Macaca mulatta: one gene and its partners. The protein of the gene in region 2 binds, or shares a complex with, the protein of the main gene of each other region. Links are inferred from orthologs where the notes say so. Each region holds a gene or a part of one and is shown on either strand. Other genes may lie near its edges. The genes, in order: IRF2BP1, BANP and IRF2BP2.

The links.
Region 1: BANP (region 2) and IRF2BP1 share a complex: the UniProt entries of both Homo sapiens proteins name them as parts of the corepressor complex. The link is inferred for Macaca mulatta from reciprocal best matches to the Homo sapiens genes BANP and IRF2BP1.
Region 3: BANP (region 2) and IRF2BP2 share a complex: the UniProt entries of both Homo sapiens proteins name them as parts of the corepressor complex. The link is inferred for Macaca mulatta from reciprocal best matches to the Homo sapiens genes BANP and IRF2BP2.

The regions. Positions count from the first base shown.
Region 1 is NC_133424.1:58,436,466-58,443,782, forward strand, and holds IRF2BP1 (interferon regulatory factor 2-binding protein 1), read right to left. Parts: upstream 4,675-7,317; 5' UTR 4,285-4,674; coding exon 2,530-4,284; 3' UTR 2,121-2,529; downstream 1-2,120. UniProt on the Homo sapiens protein: Acts as a transcriptional corepressor in a IRF2-dependent manner; this repression is not mediated by histone deacetylase activities. May act as an E3 ligase towards JDP2, enhancing its polyubiquitination. Represses ATF2-dependent transcriptional activation.
Region 2 is NC_133425.1:83,339,542-83,346,759, reverse strand, and holds the start of BANP (protein BANP), read right to left. Parts: upstream 4,916-7,218; 5' UTR 4,834-4,915; intron 4,145-4,833; 5' UTR 4,131-4,144; coding exon of another isoform or gene 4,110-4,130; 5' UTR 4,073-4,109; coding exon 4,052-4,072; exon of another isoform or gene 3,973-4,051; intron 2,954-3,972; exon of another isoform or gene 2,872-2,953; intron 1-2,871. UniProt on the Homo sapiens protein: Controls V(D)J recombination during T-cell development by repressing T-cell receptor (TCR) beta enhancer function. Binds to scaffold/matrix attachment region beta (S/MARbeta), an ATC-rich DNA sequence located upstream of the TCR beta enhancer.
Region 3 is NC_133406.1:14,467,108-14,474,442, reverse strand, and holds the start of IRF2BP2 (interferon regulatory factor 2-binding protein 2), read right to left. Parts: upstream 4,183-7,335; 5' UTR 3,491-4,182; coding exon 2,443-3,490; intron 1,846-2,442; coding exon 1,130-1,845; 3' UTR 1-1,129. UniProt on the Homo sapiens protein: Acts as a transcriptional corepressor in a IRF2-dependent manner; this repression is not mediated by histone deacetylase activities. Represses the NFAT1-dependent transactivation of NFAT-responsive promoters.

The DNA of each region.
Region 1 (7,317 bases), on a different chromosome or scaffold from region 2:
TTGACTGGGGATCAAATGACCCAAACAGATAGAATCTTGCACTTCCTCCCGTTCCCTGCCTGTCTCACAGAACTTTTGAGTTTGAGGATGTCATCACTCTAGTTCACACCTGTGCCTTTTCCTGATTTCAGTCTTTCTCATCTCTCCTTTTTTTTTCTCATCTCTTCTTTATTGCCTTCTCTCTGCATCTCAGTCTCCCCTCTTTTGCGTCTCTGTTGTTGGCATCTCATCTGTCATCTCAGTCTGGCTCAACCTATCAGAATATCGTCCATTTCCTTTTCTTTTCTGTCTCTCCTTCTCTGTGTCTGCCTCATCTCTGAGGTTCTCTCGAGTCTCTCCCTGTCTCGCTGGGTCTCCGGCTCCTGTGTCTCCTTGTCTCTTTCAGTGAGCTGGTCTCCGCATCTCTCCCTCCCCACCTCTGTTGTCTCCCATCATTCCCTGAGTGTCTCTCTGTGTTTCCCGTTTGTTGCGAAGTCTCTGCACCTGCTCCCTGATTCCCAAATAAATCCAGAACCCCTCCACCCTGGCCCCACCCTGGCACTGGGGGAAGGGGGGCTGATCCAGCCCCCACACCCACACAGGTCAGGCCTTCTGCTCTGTTAATGGTTAACTCAACCTCTATCTAGAATACACACCAGCCAGGCTGGGGGTGACTCCCCTGCCCCCCACCCACTTACCAGCTGTTCTTAAAGGACCAGGTGTCCTCCACAGCAATTTAGCTCCAACTGCAGCATAGGAGCCAGGTGTCTAGAGGCCTCCAGCACTAAAGATTTGGGGATGGGTGAGATACCCAGCACTTGGGTCTGCAGAGCTGGTCAGGGGAAGCCAGAGGCTTGCCTGGGAGGGGAGCCCCGGCACAGAGCTCCATCCAGGTCTCTCTTGCCCTGGGCTTATCACCTGGTGTATTTAATCAGGGGTGGTTTTCCCAGCCCTGCCCTGAGCCCAGGCTGGCAGTGCCAGGGGTGGCAGAACACCTGAGAGCTGACGGCTGGGGGGTGAGGAAGGATGGGACCCCTTAGCCCAAGAACAGAGGGTCCTCCAGATGCGAAAGTTGACGCCCTAGGGATCCCTAATATCTGGGAGTTAGGACATGTAGGTATGCAAGTATGGGTGGGATCCCTGCCTAACCGGGCTGATGGGGCAGGACTTTAGAGGCCTCCAGATTTAGGTGATGGGAACCCTGGGTTCCCGAGGGGATCTGGGGACAACCTCGGGTCCCAGAGCTGTCTGACAGTGCTGGGTGGTGGTAGGACAATCATTCCCTATTTCGGTCCATCCGCGGGCCTTTGAGCCCCGCATTCCCCCTTCCCGGAATCTCTCCACCTCGGCTTGGCTGGGGAGGCCGCAGGGGTGGGGGCTGGGCTCTTGGGGCCGCCCCCTCCCCTTAACCCCTGCTTTGCCGCAGCCCGCTCAGGCCCCGCCCCGTGACGCCAGCGAGCAGGAAGTCCTGGTTAATGATCAGCCACCCGGACAGGTGCGGGACAAGGCCGCGCACATCAGAGGCAGCCGCGGGGCGAGTGCCTTTCGCTCTGCTCTCTAGGGTGGCCGCCGAAGGGGCTTGTCTCCCGACACGAGGGCGAGGAGTCCAGTTGTGGCTTCCCAAACGTCCGCCTCTGGGGCACCACCAGAGGCGAGAAGTAGCCAAGTTGTTTCTAGGCATCCTGTTAGTTTACCCCGTGGAGGTAAATTTCCTCTTTCCTCAGGTAGTCCCTCTAGCAGTCTACCCTAAATTCTCCCTTCTACTCAGCAAGAACCCCCTGCCCGTTTCTTCTAGGAAACCTCCCTCTGCCTCTTTCCCCTCCCCACGTAGGCGCTGAGTCCTCCACCTTCCAGGTAGAGATAGAGAATGGGCCAGCTACAGAAGGGTAATCTACTCCCGAGACTGTCTGTGGTTCCCCTACAGGAGCCATCCCCTCTCTGAGCCTCAGTTCTTTCATCTGGAGAACGGGCCGATGGCTAAAACGTGAGCAGTGGGTCGCACTTGCAGAAGGTCGGCCGGCGGGACGGCCTGGGTGCAGGGCGCCACCTGGAGGCTACCGCGCAACGTCTTCGCCCTCGCAGGACTAGTTCAGTCCCAAAGGGGGCGCAGCATCTCACACAACCAAGGGACCAAGAAGAGAGAAAAAAAAAAACCAACCCATCTTTCGGTTTATTGAAGGAGCAGAAGGGGGCGGGAGAGGGGAGCAATAAAATGCTTTTGCCTCGTTTATAAAGAGCGAATTTTCAGGAGGTCCCTTCTCAAGGAGGAGGGGGGCACCTCTTCCCCAACTACAAGCAGCAGCAAAGCCAAGCCAAGGACAGAGGGAAACTGGAGGGGCCAAGGGACCCCAAATATCCCCTCGGACAGGAGCCACAAGCTTTCTCCCCCCACCCACAATGCATCTACCCCAGGGGACCCATCTGGGTGGAGGAAGGGAGTATGTACACAGATAGGGGTGGCACTGGGCTGGGTCGGGGAGGGAATAATTTATCCGCGTCAGCGGTGGATGGCAAAAGGGCAGAGGGCAGTAGCCTGGAGGCAGTGGTAGCCTAGGGGTCCCGTTCTTTCTTAACCTTGATGTCTCCAGCAAGGATGGTGGCGATTTCGCCCTGCATGAAGGCCCAGGGCACGGAGGAGCCGACCAGCGGGCACTTGTCTCCGCTCGGGCAGTATACCTCCCCGGCCGGGCCCTGCGCCTTGATGAACTCCCGGGAGCAGGGAAAGCAGAACTTGTGTCCGGGCACCGAGGGGCACTGGACGAAGTGGGTGTCTTCTAGCCGCTCCCTGCACAGGGTACAGCACAGGGGAGCCCCAGGGGTCGCCCCAGTGCCGCCGCCACCCCCGCTGACAGCTTCGGCCCCCGCTGTGGGACTGACTTCTGCTTCACCGTTGCGGGCCACAAGGCGATGCTGGGTTGGCGGCTGGGCAGTGGAGGAGGCTGCAGGGCTGGCGCCCCCTGGACGCACAGGCCCTCCACCTCCGCCAGGGTCCTTGGGTGAGTGGCCCAGGGCTTCGGCCACATTCTTCAGGGCGGCAATGGGCGAGGGCACACCAGGGGTCTCAGCGGAGTACGGACCTCCAGGTGCCACCCAGTGCCGTTGTTGCTGCTCCTCGGTGGTCATCTTCCCAGTCGCCTCGCCCTCCGGCTCGGGGGATGCCTTGCGACGGCGCGGCGTGGGCGCCAGGTTCCGGGATGGGGCTCGCGGTGGTGGGCCACAGAGAGCCGCAGGGGCAGGCTCTGGGTACTGCTGGGGCAGGGCCTCCGCGGGAGCTGGCTCGCGAAAGCTGCGGACGCCGTCGGTAAGCAGCTCGCCCAGCTGCCGCCATTCTCCTGAGCCATGCCGGCGTTCATATTCGAGGTACTTGAAGCCCGAAGAAGCCAGTGCCTTGCCCGGCTCCCGCAGAGCATCGTGGAACATCTGGCGAGCCACCGCCAGGACGCCGGCATACACATTGCCGGAACCACAGGGGTATTCGGTGAAGAGCTTCAGCTCGAATTCGTATCCTGGAGGACGGGCAGCAGCATCGAAGGCGAACACTCGCCCCACCAGCCCGTGATCCTTCTTGAAGCGCACATTGAACGGGGCGCAGGCGGACAGCGCCAGTAGCTGTTCCCGCACTGCTTTGGGGCGCCCGTGCCATTCCTCTGCCCGGCCCCGCATGGCCTCGTTCAGTTCTGCCAGACAGTCCGCATTCCTCTGCTGCTTCTCTTTCTCGAAATCGGAGCCGAAGAGGGGACGGGCAGGACTCAAGCCGGGTGCCAGCGTCAGGCCTCGGCTTCCCAGGCCAGACACTGCAGCTGCCAGCAGCCCAGGGGGCATCAAGCCAGGCATGGAGCCAAGCAAGGCCCTTCGCGCCCCCTCAGCCACGGCCTCCTCACGGCCCAGCCCATTGGCCAGGCGGGACCCCAGAGTGTACTCCAGGGCGGGCGAGGGCAGGGGGAGGCGGCCCGATGATGTGGCCCTGTCATAGCGGTCCTGGCCTGAGACGCCGCCGCCGGTCCCTGACGGCTGGGGCTGGGCCTGCGGGGGCGGCAGCTGGGGCCCCTGTGCGGCGGCCGCAGCCAGGTCCTTGGTGGCCGGGTGCTTAAGGGCCGGGGGCCCGGGGGAGCGGCCCTCGGGGAGCACGTGGCTGCGCTTGAGCTGGCGGGCGGCATCGATGAGCAGTTCGATGCGGTCCGCGCCCTCGAAGTTCACGCAGCCGCGGCACACGGCCTCGCTGAAGTCCCACACCATGGCCCACGGCATCTTGGGCAGGTCGCACAGGTAGCACCACTGGCGGCGGGACGCCTGCACAGACGCCATGGCCCCAGTCCGCGCGCCGCCCGGCTCCCGCGTTCCACCGGCCGCCGACGTGCGATCCGCGCCGCCGACGTTCGATCCGCGTCCCCGGGACAGCGCGAGCCACGGTCCGGCCTCCGGCTCGGCCTCCCCGCCGGATCCAGGCCCGGCCCCCCTTCCCCGCCCCCTGGGCCCTAAGCCTTTCTGCTCACTCCCGCCTCCCTCGCAAAGGCAGGCTGAGGCACGTCGGCGCCCCCGCCCGGTCCGGGCTCCGAGCCGAGGCGCACAGCTCGGGCCCCACGATGGGCCGCGAGCGCAGCCGCCTCGGGCTCCCGCCGCTCTCGCCGCCGCCGCTGCAACGGCCGCCGCCGCCTCCACCTCCTTCTTCTGCCCCAGAGGCCGCTTCGCAGGGAAAGTTACATAACGCGCCAGCAAAGCCTTCTGGGAAACGTAGTCCCGCCGGGGCCGGCTCTTAAAGGGAACGGCGGGCAGAGGCGGGCTGGGGGGGTCGTCGCCTCTCCGCGCGCAGCACTTATAACCGTCTCCGCGGGGCCGGAGTTCGGCGCGCCGCAAGATGCTGGGACACAAAGGTGGGAGGCGAGTTTGCAATACGAATGATCAGAGCTACTCCGGATTCAGAAATTTTGGGGGTGGGTGGACAGGCTTCCAGGATTCCAACTTCTGCTCCGATTTGTTGTGCAGCTTTAGGCAAAATGTCTTGCCCTCTCTGAACCTCAGTTTCCCCGCCCAGCAAAGGTGGGCCAATGACGGATTAGGAAGGTAGCAGCTTCTGGGGCGGGGCGGAGAAGCCCTGATTGGCTTCAGAGCAGGGAAGGGAAACTGGCAACTAGGTGGGGGTGGGGGTGGCCACTTGGCACTTCGTCCTCCCCCGGAATCCTAGATGTATGCCTCTGGGGCCCGCCACAGCCAGCGAAGGGAGAGGACTAAGGGCTCCGGAGCCAGAGCCTTGCCTCAGTTTTCTCTGCTAAAGAAGGGGGGCGACTGACCGCCCTCTAACCCTGTCCCAGCTCTGCCCGCGCGCTCTGGTCTCTAAAGGGTTACACCGTCGGCTGCTCGGCGTCCTCCACCCGCTTCACTACAATTCCCAAAATGCACTGCGGACGCGGACAAAGTGACGTGCTTCCGCCGCCTGGGAGGTTGGGGTAGGCCTTTCAGATTCACGCTGCTTTACCCGCGCCCCCCCCAACCTTTCTGGGGGTTCTTTACGTGCATTCGGAGCATGGCGTTTGGGGGACCCTTATCCTCTGTTGCTCCCCAATTTGAGGGAAGAGTAAGGGGTTAAGAAGTGACGGGCAAGAGGAAGGAGTTGCTGGGGAAGGGCGAACACCAGACTACCTTTCCCCAACCCTGAGCGCTCACTACCTGCAAGGCCCAATCAGGCTTTGAGGACCCTCCTGTCTTCTTTCCCAGGCATTGGGAACACGACGGGGCTGTCTTTGGGGAACGGTGGAGGCGGGTCTCCAGGTTCTAACCCACAACAGCCCCTTTCTCTAGGCCTGGGTCCATGTTAGGTGCTCAAAGATACTTGAATGATGTGCCAGTTGGCCCTGGTTTTCAGTCTAGTGAGGGGCTGCTTGTCCCTTCTCCCGTCCCACTGGAACCGCATCAACTCTGATTCTGTTACCCAGACTTCACAATTTCAAAATGGTTTCACAATTTTGTCTACTACCTGTATTTGAACACTTTTCTCCCTTAAAAAAAGATTTATTAGGCTGAGGTGAGAGGATTGCTTGAGTCTGGAGGTAACAGGCTGCAGTGAACCATGATTGCGTCACTGCACTCCAGCCTGGGCAACACAGCAAGACCCTGTCTCAAAAAAATAAATAGAAATAAAAAGATCTATCTATTTTTACCTCATCCTAGGTAATACGTTCACAATCATGGGTTTCATCTACTGGTTAGCTTAAAAAAAATCAGTGAAAACTATCGACTAATTCAAGAAGACATTCATATGTCACTTAAAATTGCCTTTGGGCTATTATTTACGAAACTCTAAAGGGAGTTAAGACTTCTGGCCAGATTCAGCCTTCAGGTGGACTGGACTGGCCTCTGACCAGCTGTGGCCTTGGGCAAGTCTCTAAACTTCTTGGAAAAAATGGAGACCCCCTCCAGTCTGTTTTTATTTGGGTACCTTCAGATTGAATGCAAACACGCATATAAATGCTTAGCTTGGTGCTTGGCACAGAAAAGTGCCACAAGTGGAAGTTGTTTTTAAGCTGGACAGTTATTCAAATATTCAGCCCCTCTTCCGTGGTGGGCAATGCTGGGGACATAGCAGCTGAGACAGGCTTAAGCCTTGCCCCTGAGAAGCCCCAGCCTGGTGATGGAGGCAGATACTAAATTTACTCAAATGATGAACTAAAATTTGTGATGACTGCTGTGGGGAGTGTGTGTCTGGAAAAGCTTTCCTGGCCAGGCATGGTGGCTCATGCCTATAATCCCAGCACTTTGGGAGGCCGAGGAGGGCGGATCACTTGAGGTCAAAAGTTCGAGACCAGACTGGCCAATGTGGTGAAACCTTGTCTCTACTAAAAATTAAAAAATTAGGCCGGGCGGTGGCAATGGCTCACTCCTATAATCCCGGCACTTTGGGAGGCCTATCACTTGAGGTCAGGGGTTTGAGACCAGCCTGGCCAACATGGTAAAACCCCATCTCTACTAAAAAATACAAAAATTAGCCAGGTGTGGTGGCGCACACCTGTAATCCCAGCTACTCAGGAGGCTGAGGCAGGAGAATTCCATGAACCCAGGAGATGGGTTCACACCACTGTACTCCAGCCTGGGGGACAGATGCAAGACTCCATCTCAAAAAAAAAAAAAAAAAACTAAGTTAAAATAAAAAAATTAGCCAGGAGTGGTGGCATGCGCCTGTAGTCCCAGCTACTTGGGAAGCTGAGGCAGGAGAATCACTTGAACCCAGGAGGCAGAAGTTGCAGTGAGCCAAGACTGTGCCATTGCACTCCAGCCTGGGCAACAGAGGGAGACTCCATCTCAAAAAAAAAAAAAAGTATAATCTAATTATAGGAAGAAAGACTC
Region 2 (7,218 bases):
TCAGGCACAGGGAGGGCTTTCTAAAGCTTTCATCTCAGACATTCTCATTGAGACCCTTGAATTTACTTTCCCCCAGAAGTCTTTCCTTCCAAATGAGGAAATGTTTAGTTTCTCTAGATTTCAGTGGCTAAACTGGTGCTGTGAGTTACACGGACATTTTCAAGTCAGCCTTGCGACGCCATGTCATGTAAATCACTTAATCGTATAACTGGAGTTTTTGGGATTTGTACAGTATCAATGAAGACAACAAGGAACCCAAAGGCTAACAAGCATGACAGGGGAGCTACAAGACCACTGAGGCCCCCCGCCCAGCACCTGTGCCTGGAGCCCCCAAGCCCCTACTCCTTCACCTCCCTCAAGGCTGAGGGAAGCCCTTCCGTGTGGACCACGGTGCACACATCATCGAGCCACCTGCCTGCAAGAAATTCTAAGCCTCCCTGTCTTTCAAGACCCGGACACTTTTGAGAGGCACTGGCAAGGACTGTGGTGAGCATCCCCCGGGTTGGGTGCAGCATTTTCTCATGATGAGACTGCATTTCTGGCAACACTGCCAGAGAAGTGATGTGTCTCACTGGGTCCTTGGTGTCAACATCTTATGACTGATGCTGTTACCCTGATCACTTGCTTCACGCAATATCTGCTGGGTTTTTCCACCAAGAGGCTACAATTTTATTTCTCCCTTTGTGATGTACATCCTGGGGGAGATACTTTGTGACTATGTAAATATCACAGACAGGAGGACATTAAGTGTGGGGTCCTAGAGGGGATCCCAAAACAGCAAGAGGACACTGGTGCAAAACCGAAGTTCGAATAAGGTCTGTCATTTAGGCAATAATGCTGTGAACTTTCTGGTATTTATATGGATGCCTGGTTCCATAAGATGTCAACATTAGGGGAAGCGGATGAAGAGAACAGGGAAGCTCAGTGAAATATTTTTTCCATCTTTTCTGTAAAGTCAAAAACTACCTGAAAATTAAAAGCTAACCAAGCTGCAGTCTGATTCTGCATGAGAACCTGGGGGGGGGGTCTGAAAAGTCTGTGTTTCTCACCAATACCCAAGTGACACATGGATGCTGCCGGCCCCTGGACCGCTCTGCTAGCAAGGCTCTGGCAAACAGAAGACAGAGCCCACCTCACTACTCACAACTTCCCAGTGACAGTCAGCTACCAGGCAGCAAGATCATGCTCCCAGTACGCTCGCCACTGCTTCACTGCAGGCCCTCCTGGAAACCAGCAGGGCAGACCACCCGCTTGGCACACTGACCCAGCGAGGAGCCAAAGTCAGGGTCTCTGCTACCACACGGGTCTGCCAGGCCTTGCCCAGGTACGCTGGCAGCCCTCCAAGGCCACAGGGCCAGAGCCACCAGCCCACGCCGCAATTCGCAGGCGGCTGTGGAACAGTGGCTTGGCACCTTATCCCATCGACTGTGGGCAATTACCAAGGCCACGAGGCAGCGGGAAGGCGGGGTGAATAGAACGGGCTTTCAAACCACTGCTCAAGGGGAGTGACTGGCCACACAGGTGACCTCCTCCCACCCCATTAACATCATCTTTAATAGAGTGTTATAAACCCACAAGAAAGAACACACTCCTGACAGATGCAGAGAACCCAATCAGGGTAAAGGGAAAGCACCGGGGGCACAGGCGTGGCGCTCCAGGCCTCACAGAGCCCTGCGGACAGGCCAAACCTGCACCTGCCAAGTCGGTCCCGCACAGGAGAGCGAACTCCCCCACGGCCAGCAAAGGGGCTCCCAAAGAAGCGGAGCAGCCCAGAGAAAGTATCTGCAAGTTGGCGCTCCAGGTCCCACAGTACAGGCTCCCAATCACCCGAGGGAAAACTGGACTCTTTCAAAAGCACCCCACAGACCCGGGGCTCTCCGCCAGCCTCCTCCTGCCTCAGACAACAGTAAATATCAGTATTTGAGGAGGACTTGCCATACAGAGCAAAAAGCCAACACTCTTTTTTAAGTGACATTAGTGGAAACAAGAAATCAGAACAAAGAGGAACTGGAAAGAATCCTTATTAGTTTCCCTAGAGTCATGGAGATGAGGCATTTGTAAAACAATAAGCTACTGTGAAAAAGGAACAAGACAAATACATGCTTGGAAATTAAAAATTTGATTGTGAAGACATATGAAAGCCCTCTCCCAGAAATGAGAATAAACAAGACACAGAAGGAAGGATAAAGATGCAACTCCAGGGGTCCATCTAGAACGTCCATCACAAACAGGAACTCCTAAGACAGAAGAGCAGAGCTGGAGAGGAAGAACTTCTCAGACAGAACAAGGCAACTCCCCAGAGCTGAAGGACAAGGCACCAGAGTCAAAGAGTCCCCGGAGTAGGAATCCACACACCTCAGCACACGGTAAAATGTCATTAACACCAAAGAGAGGATCCAAGAGCGTTCAGGGAGGGAGAAGGGTCTCCACAGAGGAAGAGCACCTGCCAGAGCGTCCTGTGGAAATGAACAAAGCCGAGATGAAAACATTTCTGAACGCACCCAGCCGCAAGAAGTATCAGGTGGGCTCGTCTGCAGGCTAAAGAATAACCCATCCAGATGAGAAAAAGGTTAGGGGCTGAAGGAGGAAGGGGACCTGACACTATCCTTGAGATCATTTAAAACAATGCAAGGAGTCGATGGGAACAGAAAGTGCCAAGAGAAAAGCCATGACTAACAGAAAAAAAACATGCTGTACAGGAAGGGAAACACTCAATTTGTGAAGAGAACAGTATTTACATAGGCCTGACACACACAGTCCAGGGGATAGAAGAGGTGGGATATGACAGAAGGGCTCCATCACCCCATCGTAACAGAAAGTCAAGGCTGTGTAAAACCAAGTAGCAGCTTAGAACTAGGTGCAGTCACTCACACTTGTATTAACGGCTACTAAGGAAGCTGAGGATCACTTGAGCTCAGGAGTTCAAGTACGGCCTGGCCAACATCTGGGGATCCTATCTCAAGAAAAAAATGAAAAAGATCAGCTTACTTAGAGCTATAAAGAATGACCTAAAGAAACCACTCAAGATGTAAACCTCTTTGAAGAATGGGGCTGAGAGGTGGGGCAGGGGACCACTGCTTTTCATTGTAAGTCTTTCACTGATGTTCCTATTGTACACATTATATTAATTAAAATACTAAATATATAGGCTTCAAATAGACTGAATTTGAACCCTGGCTCTGTACATCTGAGCAAGTCCCTTAGTGTCTGCGGGCCTGGCCACCTCATCTATAAAGTGGGGGCAGCCTCTGCCTCCCGGGTCATGGTGAAGCACCCGAGATGTTGAGCTGCCCCCAAGCAGCGTGGATCACAAATGGATGCTCTTTTTTAAAAAGATTAAAGCCCCAGCCTGGGCAACAAGCGAAACCCCCTCTAAAATACAAAAATACAAAAATTAGCCAGGGGTGGTGGTGCCTGTGGTCCCAGCTACTCGGGAGGCTGCGGTGGGAGGATCACTTGAGCCAGGGAGGCCGAGGCTGCAGTGAGCCAAGATCACCACACTGCATTCCAGCCCCGGGGACAGAGTGAAACCCTATCTCCAAAAAATAAAAATACTAAAGCCAATGATGACAGAATCCAACATCGCAAGAATATATTCTTATTTTAATTGCCAGACACGGGAAGTGGACCTACACACAGAATTTTACCGCGTTTTGGTGTTTTCTTCTAGCACAGGATATTTATTTGCGAGCTGCGTGTTAAATGACCAGATCCAGTTTTTCTTTGCTGTTTCCTGAGCTTACTCAGAACCACTCACTACTCCAAGTTATTTTTCTGTCCCCCAAGAACTTCCAGCTAAAAGTGGCCCCTACGACTGCCTCCTCTTATTATTTACTATAGTTCTGCCATCGCCATCAGGCCCTGGAGTACGTTCCTGGGCAGAACAGGCAACTCCAAACAGGGCAATTATCTGTTCCACATCAACAACTGCGTGACCCGCGCCCTCCCCGGTCAGGGTGCAAGCTCGCTACCCTTCAAAGCCCACACTCGCTCCACTTGCTCACAGTTCTTCAGGGATGATGTATTTCTCCAATAGCAAGGCAACCCCTACCATCTCATCAGTGAAAAACATCAGTCCTCTATCAAGGTACTCTCTCCAATTTGCTCACACAGTGTGGATGGAATGTCATCTACTTTCTGCATCCTAGGGGGAAAAAAAAAAAAACGGCCACCTTTCTTAAGGACTAGATCACAGAAATCGCACAAACGTGCTGGGGAGGGGGCACCCCGAAGTCCTCGTTCATCGGGGCCCCTAGGGGGACGGGCTGGGGTCCTCGCCGGGGTCGGCGGTCGCCCCGGGATCGTCCCTTCCGCTGCCTCGCCAGAGACTTGCATGTGCGAGTCCCGGGCTATGGGGCTCCAGTCCACAGCCACGGAGGAGGCACAAAAACGGTGCCTGTCGCTCCCGGCTGGCTAGCAGGAGCGACCCCTTGGGAGACTCGGTCCCCAGAGGAGCCTGGGCGCGGTTCTAGGCCCTTCCAGTCTCCCCGCCGTGGCCCCGGGTCCTTCCCGCGGGGCTAGGCCCGGGGCAGAGGTCGGGAGCGCGAGGCCCCCGGGCCGGGCTGCGGCAGCCGCGGCTCAACGGACGCCGGGGCGCGGCGGGGCCGGGGGTGCGGAAGCGAGGAAGCGGGAGCCCCTCTTCCGGGGCGCGGCCGGGGACGGGGAGCGGGGCCTGGGGGGCGCTCGCCCGGCCCGGGCGGTTGGAGGCGGCGGGGCTGCGGCGCGGGCGGCCCGGCGGGCGGGAGGAGGAGGGAGGAGGGAGATCTCGCTCTCGCTCTCGCCCCGCGGGAAGGGGGAGGCGGAGGCGCGACCGGCTGCGGGAGCTGCAATTACCGTGTGGGCTGCGGAATTCTCGTGGTGTTTGTCGGGGAGATGCGATAATGGCGTCCGTCCTCGCGAGAGAAGCCGCCGCTCTGCGCAGGCGCCGCGAGCCCCTCCCCGCGACGCTCTGCCCCCGCCCTCTGCGCAGGCTCACCGGGCGCGCGGGGCCGGGGGCGGGGCTGGGGCGAGGCCCCTTGCGGGCAGCGAGGCCAGCTGCGCGCGCTTTTCCCGCTCGGCCTCCTGGTGAGCATGCGCAGGCGGCCTTCTTCCGCGATGGTACCGGCTTCCCAGGGTTTTTTCCCCCCGTTTTTCGCCCACGCACGTGGCCTGCCTGAGAAAAATCACCTCAGTGGACGGTGTGAGGAATTTGCATCTTCTTTGAGACGGAATGAATAGGCATTAGCTCCCTCAACGACTACACCTCCCAGGGTGCCCTGCGCAAGCGGGGAGCCATGCATTCGGGGACTCGTAGTCCCTTCGTCTGGGCCATGCCTGCCGGGACTTGTAGTGTCTCCGGACTCCGGTCGTCCGTCTTGTCCCCGCACCAAGGGTTGCTGGGACTTGTAGTTACAATGTCTCAGGTGGGCTGTGCGCCCCCAGCGGGTCCTGCCTGCTGCTGCGGCGGATCCTGCCCTGAGGTTCCGGAGCGCTTGGTGGCGTTTTCCCAGACATAAGTGGTCAGGGGTCCCCAGCGTCTGTCCGGAGGGGCCTGAGTGCACGCGCGCGGGAGTTAGCACGCACAGCAGTGACCATGGTCTTAGATATGTCCTACAGCTAACACATAATATAAATAAGTGATGGCGGCCGGGCACAGTGGCTCACGCCAGTAATCCCAGCCCTCTGGGAGGCCGAGGTGGGCGGATCACCTGAGGTGGAGGTTCGAGACCAGCGTGGCCAACATGGCGAAACCCCCCTCTCTACTAAAAGTACAAAAATTATGCCTGGCCTGGTGGCGCGCACCTTGTAATCCCAACTACTCGGGAGGCTGAGGCAGGAGAATCGCTTGAGCCCGGGAGTCGGAGGTTGCCGTGAGCCGAGATCGCGCCCCTGCACTCCAGTCTGGCGACGGAGCGAGACTCTGTCTCTAAAAAAATAAAAAAGTGATGGCGTGAATGTGCGCACGTTATCGTTTATGTAGAATAAATGTGCATTTGTGGGTAATCATAGGAAAAAATTCCCAAACTATAGGGCAATTCCCAGAAATGTCATTTCTGGTTATCTCCCTCTGCTTATCTAGAATTACCTTGCCTTTCATTTTCCTCTTTATACTCCTGTTTTCTGAATTATTTGCAATGAGCAAGAATGCCTTTGATCTCCCAAGCACAGGGCAAGAGAACTATTTTCACTGGGAAAAACAAAATGCTTTACCTTGAATTTCCTGCCCAGCTCCCTTTTGCCAATAATAATAACAGGATTCGGTGCAGTCATGGGCTATGCGACCTTGGGCAACCTTACCGAGTTAGTCTCCTCTAGAATTAGGCTCGGAGGTTCCCCTGAGGCCGGTGGCTGGGTTACTTCGCAGTAAAAATGACTTACAAACACTCCAAGGAGGAGCCTTGACAGAATGGCAGCACTGGGACAGGTGTCGATCTGAAGATGGGACCTGTCCTTTTTCAACATGAAGATTGGCTCCAAAGAGATTAGAAAAATTGCCCAGCGAGGCCACAGGGCTGGAGAGAGGCACAAGCCGAGTTTGCAGTACAGAACACCTTGCTTAGAGTGTGGTGTCCACTCACATGGAGGGAAAGGGTGCGTGCGGGAGCTGCCACGGAATATTCCCTCCAGCAGTGGGGACAAAACATGTTCTAGGGAGACACGCCTTTTGTCTCCACCTCCACCTCAATCACAGCTGCATTCAAATACTAATACTTGCCCATGTAAGAATTCTTAGCATCCATGCCTGAATATCTGGCTCGAAAACAGACCAACTTAGGGTGATGTTGTTCGTGTTATTTCAGAACATCCCCAAGTCCGTGTCTGGAGCTGCCTTTTCCCTATCCGCAGGCCTTGTGCAATGCTGGGCCCAGCGTCATGAACAGGTGTGAGTGGACGGGAGAAGGAACCTGTGGGCAAAGGTGAATCTATCTGTGACCATCCAACAAGCTACAGTGAGATTTGTTGAAGGCCACTGCTGACTAGGTCATGATCAGAAATGAAGCCAATCAAAACTATGATTGTGCCTATGCTGCAGTTGTCGATTGTTTTGTTTTGTTTTGTTTTGTTTTGTTTGCATCAGGATCTTGCTCTGTCATCCAGCCTGGAGTGTGGTGGTGCAATCATAGTTCACTGCAGCCTCCACCTCTCGGGCTTAAGTGAGCTTCCCATCTGAGCCTCCTGAGTAGCCGCGACTACAGGCACGTACCACCATCATTGCCTAATTTTTTTGTTTTTTGTCGA
Region 3 (7,335 bases), on a different chromosome or scaffold from region 2:
TGGGCTGTCACTGATATGCCCAAGGGCAGTCCTGGCAGCACCACGCGGCTGTTACTGTCATTGTACCATACTGTATTCAGCACTCACTAGAAACAGGGTATAGGTGATAGTATCAACAGCAATAGCACTACAGGTAAATGATAAACAAAACAGAAACAAAACCAATCCCACAATCTCCAAGTTCACCTGGACTGTAACTTCTCTTGCAACTCTTTCAAAATAAAGGACAACAGCAACAACAAACAGACCTCTAGGGTGTTTAAAAAGATGAAGTGGCGCTGCAGAGCTGGGCGCTGCTCAAAGATGGCAGTGCCATCTTGTACACACCACCATCCATTATAACCGCCTTCCATCACTGGAATTGTGTCTTATGTAACCAACTAGCATGCAGCATTGTAATCTTACAACTGATCACGTGGACAGTGAACAGCGGTCAACTTTGTCTTTAAAAAAAAAAAAAAAAAAAAAAACCCCAAAAGACCACACAATCCTGAAAATTTCCCAGCAGCACTCTCAGTCATCAGTTATCTCAGGAACTGAACTTTTGAACAAAACAGAGATTCAAAATCTACTTTCCTACTCCTCTGAGGACAATGCTTCAGGGTAAACTGGTATTTCCCAGTGGCATGCCCACTTGACAACATGCCCGTTCACTCATTTCCTTTCCTTCTCCACCACTTGGCCTCCGGCCTGAGAAAGGGGCCAGCAATAAGGAATGACAGACAGTAAGGCAATCTTACAATGTCAGAAAATGTATTTGGCTTTTTTTTTCTTTTTAAAATAAGTGCATACAAATACAGCTAGAAGCATTTCTGATTTGCCAAGTGCTCTAAAAAAGCAGCGCAAGTCACAGCCTACATAGAACGGTAACTGTCACCAGGATAATAAAGCACAAAGATATGCTAATAACGTTAACAAAAGAAAAAAATGCCTTTATAAGTACATACCTTTTGTCGTCAAAAAAAAATATAGAAACACAATGTATTCAAAAAAAAATCAAAATTATACAGCCATGTTTATGAAGTCTACATTTCCCTTGTCTTGGATATATATATATATGGAGATATATATATACAATTCAAGCAGTTTTAATTAAGGGTAATCATTGGGTTTTTCTGAAACCGGAAAGTCACGAGTCTCTCTCTTTTTTCACTTTCACATCTCCAGCAAGGATGGTTGCAATTTCCCCTTGCATAAAGGCCCAGGGGACATTGGAGCCCACAAGAGGGCATTTTTCCCCACTGGGACAATAGACCTCTCCACTAGCTCCCTGCTGTTTGATGCTTTGTCTGGAGCAAGGGAAGCAGAACTTGTGCGAAGGGACGGACGGGCACTGCACAAAATGGGTGTCCTCCAGCCGCTCGTGGCAGAGGGTGCAGCACAGCGGGGCACTGGCTGCCAGAGAGGAGTCCGGGAGGCTGGCAGGGTGCACTGGCTCCAGTCCTCCTGTGTTGCCTGCTCCCTGGCCCCCCACCTCTCTGGGGCCCAGCCTTCTTTGGTTCATAGAGGACGGAGAGGGCGGACTGTTGCTATTCCTCCTGGTAGTGGAGTGAACCTGGTTGGCATCTTTTGAGGCATGACTGCCCCCTGCATTGTCTGCTACTAAGATCAGGGCTGCCATGGGGGACTGGCCATTCTGGGCCGCTTCAGGCGGTGTGGTCCGGTTGGAATGAGGTGAGGCAGTGGGTGGTGGCGGAGACACAAAAGAGGATGTAGGAGTCATGGGGATCTTGAGCCCTTCTGTGGATGTGGACAGCCACGGCTGGGCCTCTCCATTGATCTTAGGGGGCCCGACTTCACCTTCTGGTTCTGGAGAGGGCTTCCTTTTCCTTGCTGTTCTTGCAACTGGAAACACAAAGAAATAAAAGGAAAAAGGAAACATAAATGGCGGTGCACTGGAAGGGATCCTTCCCTTCCTAACCCGAAACAAAACTCGTTACAGAATTCCTCCTCTCTAAAAGCACAGACGGAAAACCCTCCTACGAGTTTCAGGTGCACATACACGCAACTTGAAACATTTAGGCGTGTGGGGTTCTGAGGCAGTAGACTGAAAATAAAACGGAGCCACTGAAAATGGCAGGCTTGTAACTGCCTGTTTTTACACATGCACAAAAGTACCCTAGTTTGCACTGGGCATGTGACTGCTAATGTCCCGCAATAGGTTAAAAGGTGACTAGTGCCCTCATGCTCCCATCCAAGAATGTGCTGGGAAAGGAAAACCCCGTGTCAGAGCGTATCAGCCCAGTCTGACTCATCTCTGTTATGCTGCTTCAGCACATGAACACGTTGCCACTAAGCACTGGTTCCGCCTCAGGCAGATCAGGAAGTGGGGTATTTGTTGTTTCTGAGCTGGGGTAAAATGGTGAATCGAAAGAACCACCCCTCCTCTGCTCTCCGTCCCCTTTTCTCCCCTAGAACCCCTCACTTCACAGCCGCCCCTACCTGCTTTAGACCCGTTGGCCCCGTTGGCCTCGAAACCCAACAACCTGCCTGCAGTCAGGGCCGGCTCCTTCTTAAACTTGCTCTCGAAGGGCCCCGAGTGGCCGTGCTGGTGCAGCGCCAGCAGCGTGTCGCGCACGGTCTTGGGCCTGTTGACCCAGTCCTGCTCTCCAGACCCGCGGCTCTTGCCCGCACCTTCCGCGCTCAGCTCGGCGGCCCCGGCCGCGGTGGACAGGCTGTCCGCCGGGCCCCGGTGCGCAGGCGGCGGCGGTTGCTTCTCCTTGGCTGCTGCCTCGCGCTGCTCGTGCTCCACGGCCGCGCTGCTCGACACGGATGCCGGCCGCTTGTGGGCGCCCAGGTCGGTGGGCTGCGCGGAGCCCAGGCTGGCGGCCGCGGTTCCGGACACCGCGGCTAAGGAGGCGGCAGCGCGGCCGCCGAGGCCGAGCGCGGTGGGCAGCGGCGTGGCCGAGCCGTTCATGAGCGGCACCAGGGTGGGCGGCACCGCGTGGCCGCGCCGCGGGTTCGGGCTCTGGCGATTCAACTCGGGAGGCTCCTCTAGCTTGGAGAAGCCGTTGGGCACCAAGATGCCGTTCACGGGCGGCGGCTGCGGCGTCGGCGGCTGGGCCAGGCTCGCGGCCGGACGACTGCCGCCGAAGTCAGAGCCGAGGCGCGGGGGCCGCTCGGCCGCGGCCGCCAGGGGGTAGCGCTCCAGGGCCTGCGGCGCGCGCGGGGCCGCCTCGGGGCCGCCGTGGCCGAGCTGCTGCTGCTGCTGCAAGAGGATGTCCTTGGCCGAGAGCGGCGGCGGCTTGGCGGCGGCCGGGGCCGCGGCGCCGGGCGGGGAGCGACCCTCCGGGAAGCAGCCGTGCGCCCGCTTGAGCTGCCGCGCTGTCTCGATGACGAACTCGACGCGGTCGGCGCCCTCGTAGTTGACGCAGCCGCGGCACACAGGTTCGGTGAAGTCCCAGATCATGGCCCAGGGCATGCGGGGCAGATCACACAGGTAGCACGACTGCCGCCGGGACGCGGCCGCCACCGCCACCGCCGCGGCCATGTCCGAGGAGCCCGCGGCGCCGGAGGAGGAGGAGGAGGGGGCGCCGCCGCCGCCCCCCACCGGCACCACGCGCGCCCTCCTCCCCCCCCAACCCCGCGTCTCCCCCACCAGCGGCGGCGGCGGCCGCAAAGGCGGCGGCGGCGGCGGCAAAGCCCGCGAAGGCTCGGCGCCCGCGCAGCGCCCCCGGTGCACGAGGGGCGGCGGGCGCGAGGCGAGGGGCTGCAGCCGCGGCAGCAGTTCCCCCCGGCCGGCGCGGGCGCGGGCGGGCGGCGCGGTGCGGCGGTGCGGCGGGCGCGGCGGCGGGGGCTCGGCTGGAGCCGCGGCGGGCCTCCAGACCGGGGCGAAGACGGGCCGCGCGGGCGCGGGGGAGCGCAGCAGGTCGCGGCGGCGGCCGGCACAGTGTGCGGGGCGGGGGGCGGGGAGGCCGGGGGGGCAGGGGGCGGGGGGCGGCCGCCGGGGCAGGCTCAGCCCGAGCGGCGGGGCATGCCGCGCCGGGGCGGCGGCGGCTGGGCGGCGTGGAGCTCGGGTGCGGCGCAGGCCCCGGGTCGCTCCGCCGCTCTCTCACAGCTCCTGGCGTCGCCGCTCTCCAGCGCCAGCGTCAGCGGCCAGCCCGCCTCAGCTCTGCCGCCGCCACCGTCGCTGCTGCTGCTGCCGCCGCGGCCGCTCCACTTCTACAGACTTGATTCTTCGACAGTCTCGCACAGCGCCTGCGCGGGCCCCCTCCCCTCGGGCGCGTGCCCGCCCTCCCGCGCGCGCGCTCCCCTCCCCCCTGCGCGCCGAAGGAGCGCTGTCGGGAGAGCCGGCTCTGTGGCGCCCGCCCGCTCGCGGGGCAGCGCGGCAGCGCAGCGCTGGTGTCCCCTCGGAACACGGCGCAAAGTGGTCGTGTGCTTTTCCTCCACTTTCCCTCACTTCACGCCCCACCCGGCTGTCTCGACCACCCTCAGGATGTTTTCCCCTGGTGTGCCTCTGGACCAAATCGTGCTAAAAGCCATTTCTTTTTCTTTTATGCAAGGCCACTTTGTCACTTGGTTTCCGTCAGTCTCCTGAGAATGGGGATTTTAGGTCTAGCGTGGTTCACAGTTCTGGTTTTTTAGGAGTTATACTTGAAAGCTCAATGTCGGACACAAGAGCATGAAATCCGTCACTGGTGCTTTGCATTTGCATTTGTCTTGGGAAGGACATACCCGCCGCCTGCCCCTTTTACTAACTAGGGAGAATCTGGATGTTCCCAAGCCCAGCACCACGTGCACACGCCGCCAGCTGGCTCGCGCGTTTTCCACGGAGCCCTCTGGAGGGGAGGGAGCGCGGTTCGGATTAGCAGCTCGCGAACACCAAGTGCTGCTCTTAGCCCCGTCCAGCCCGCCCTGTTCAGCTAGGGCCTCGCCGCGCCAGTTGCCCCGGCCGCCTTATGTAGGTCTGCGCGGCGGGCGCGTGACGTGGACTCGGGACCGTGGGCGGCCGCCGCCGCGTGTGCGCACGCTCCGCGCAGACGTGCCTCGGCGCCGCTGGCACTAGGGCCTCGTGGAACGAATGCACATTCCAGGGATCCGGGGTGTACGGCCAGCGCGACCGCGTCACAGCGCAGGCCCCACCCCCTTCGGCGAGTCTGGGCGTCCAGGCGCCGCCCCGGGCCCGAACTTGGACTCGAGGTGGCGGGAGGCGCGGGCGCGAGTCGTGGGGGGAAGTCCTGCTCGCCTCCGCGGGGTCCCCGCTGGCCGTGGGGGCGACCGGCTGGCTGGCTCGCCGTCGCGCAGGGCGGGCCGCCGATGGGGGCAGACTTGCGCCCTATATGCCACCCAGGCTGGGGTAAGCCCAGCCCAGCCGCGCGGCCTTCAGCTCTGCCACCGTTGGCAGCCTCAGACTCAGCCCAGACTGAATTGAATGCTTGAGTTTCGCACTTTTATCGGGAGGAGGAGCTGGTGTGTGTTATGGTAAATCACTTTGGGCTGGTCGTTAGTCTCCCTAATACACGTAGGCTTAGTCGCTCTTCAATTGGGACTTTTACACTTCAGCTCTTTAAGGGCGGCCTCTGGGGCTGCTTTTGTTGGGAACACAGGCCCACAACTCTCCCTTGAGACTGGAATGAGCTGGTTAAGTGTGGGAAGAACAGGGTACTAATTATATTATCTTTCCTACAACTGGATTGGTAGGTGGAGAGAAAAAAAAAAATCCTGCTGACGTTTCTCTCTAGTCGTTGCTATTGAAAATACCAGGTTGCTTCAAAGGATTAACCACAAGGAAGAGGAAAAACACCCTTAGAGAAACAGTGGAGGGAGCTGCTTAAAACACATGAAAAAACCTGTTCGAAAATGGCACAGAAAACGTAATGTCAGACCTAAATGTTTTTACAGGCTAACCTTGAATGCCTTTTGGGGATTTCCATAGAAGGTGCGCTTGCTTTAAAGGTCTCTCAATCTGTTCCTGGATCTTGCCCTGCAATTGCAATCCTGCCTCACCCTCTCCAAGCTGGGAGAACGGGGCCTGCCCAGATCCTTCCCGGGAGTAGCTGGTGCCAGCGGGTTTGGTCACTCCCAGGCCCTGCTGTTGCACACCACTTTGAAGACCTGTCCCTTTGGTCATCCTCCTCAGAGACCCTGTGACACTCATTCCAGCACATGGCTTCACCCACTGCGTCACTGCCCAAAGGGGATGAAGTCCAGTCCTTGTGCTGCAGAGAAATGAACCAACTCAACGCCCCCAAGAGACGGCCCCACTAAGCACTGACTGAAACATATTAAAAGAAAACACAACCCACCATTAGAGCTGTGGCCTAATTATACTCATTTCTCTGCAAGCTGGTACTGTAATGGCCTCAAGGGAGAGCCTGCCACTCCATCCCAAAATAGAATTAGAGATACAAATTCTGCCTTGAGAGATACTAAGATCTTTGTAGAACAGAGCTTTTCTTCTCCAAAGGAAGAACATTTCCTTCTTACTTTACACTGCCAGTTTCATGTCGAAACTGAGTTGTTGTAACTTCCCTAATGAAATGCCCGATGGAAAATGGAAAGGCTATTTTAGTTCTGGGCTCGATCTGGAATCAAGGGGGTTAAGGCTGGATCCAGGGCAGCAATTCCTTATATTGTATCAGAAGTCTTTCATGCTGCCTGGCCTTTCATGTAGCTCTGAAGCAGCTTTATCGATGTATGCTAAGTAAACATAGCTTTGTTTTTGTCTTCCACCCACCGTTCCCTCCCGGCACAGACTGGAGTTGGATCCCGTCCAAAGCGGCTGCTGCAGCAGTTACAGCCGCCTCCTCCACACACAGGAGCAGGGTTTCTAGGGTGAGGCAATGCGTCTGCAATTCGCAGAGACAAGGCAGGAATTGTAATTGTAGTTCATCATGTGATGACTTATGAAAGAGGAAGTTGGTATGTTTTAGTCACGTAGACTCTGCCCTCTTGCTTAAGGCACCAGGTCCTCTCAGAAGAGAATTATGCTCATCTTTGCCACCCAGAGTCAAGGTTACCGGGTTGGCTGCAGTGTGCTCCTGCACATTCATATACCGACAGGCAGGCAGATGCTGGGCCAAGTGTCGGCGAAGCAGCGGGATGAGGCTGGCTTTTCACCAGAACACTGAAATGTTGCAATTTGTCTTAAGGACTAAAGGAAATATTCTATGGAGAACACTCCTGCTGAGACTAGACAAACCAACCTCCAGCTCTAATTTCTGAGTGTTTTTTTTTTTTTTAAATAAAAATACAGTTTAGGAGTAAAAGGAAAGCCATTCAGTATGACACCATCAGAAAAGCAGGAATAAGGAAGTAGCTTGGAAAGCAAACCTAGGAGAGCAGTTGTAAGCGATAGCTCAATGGGTAGAACAAATATGACCTTCCCACACCGAG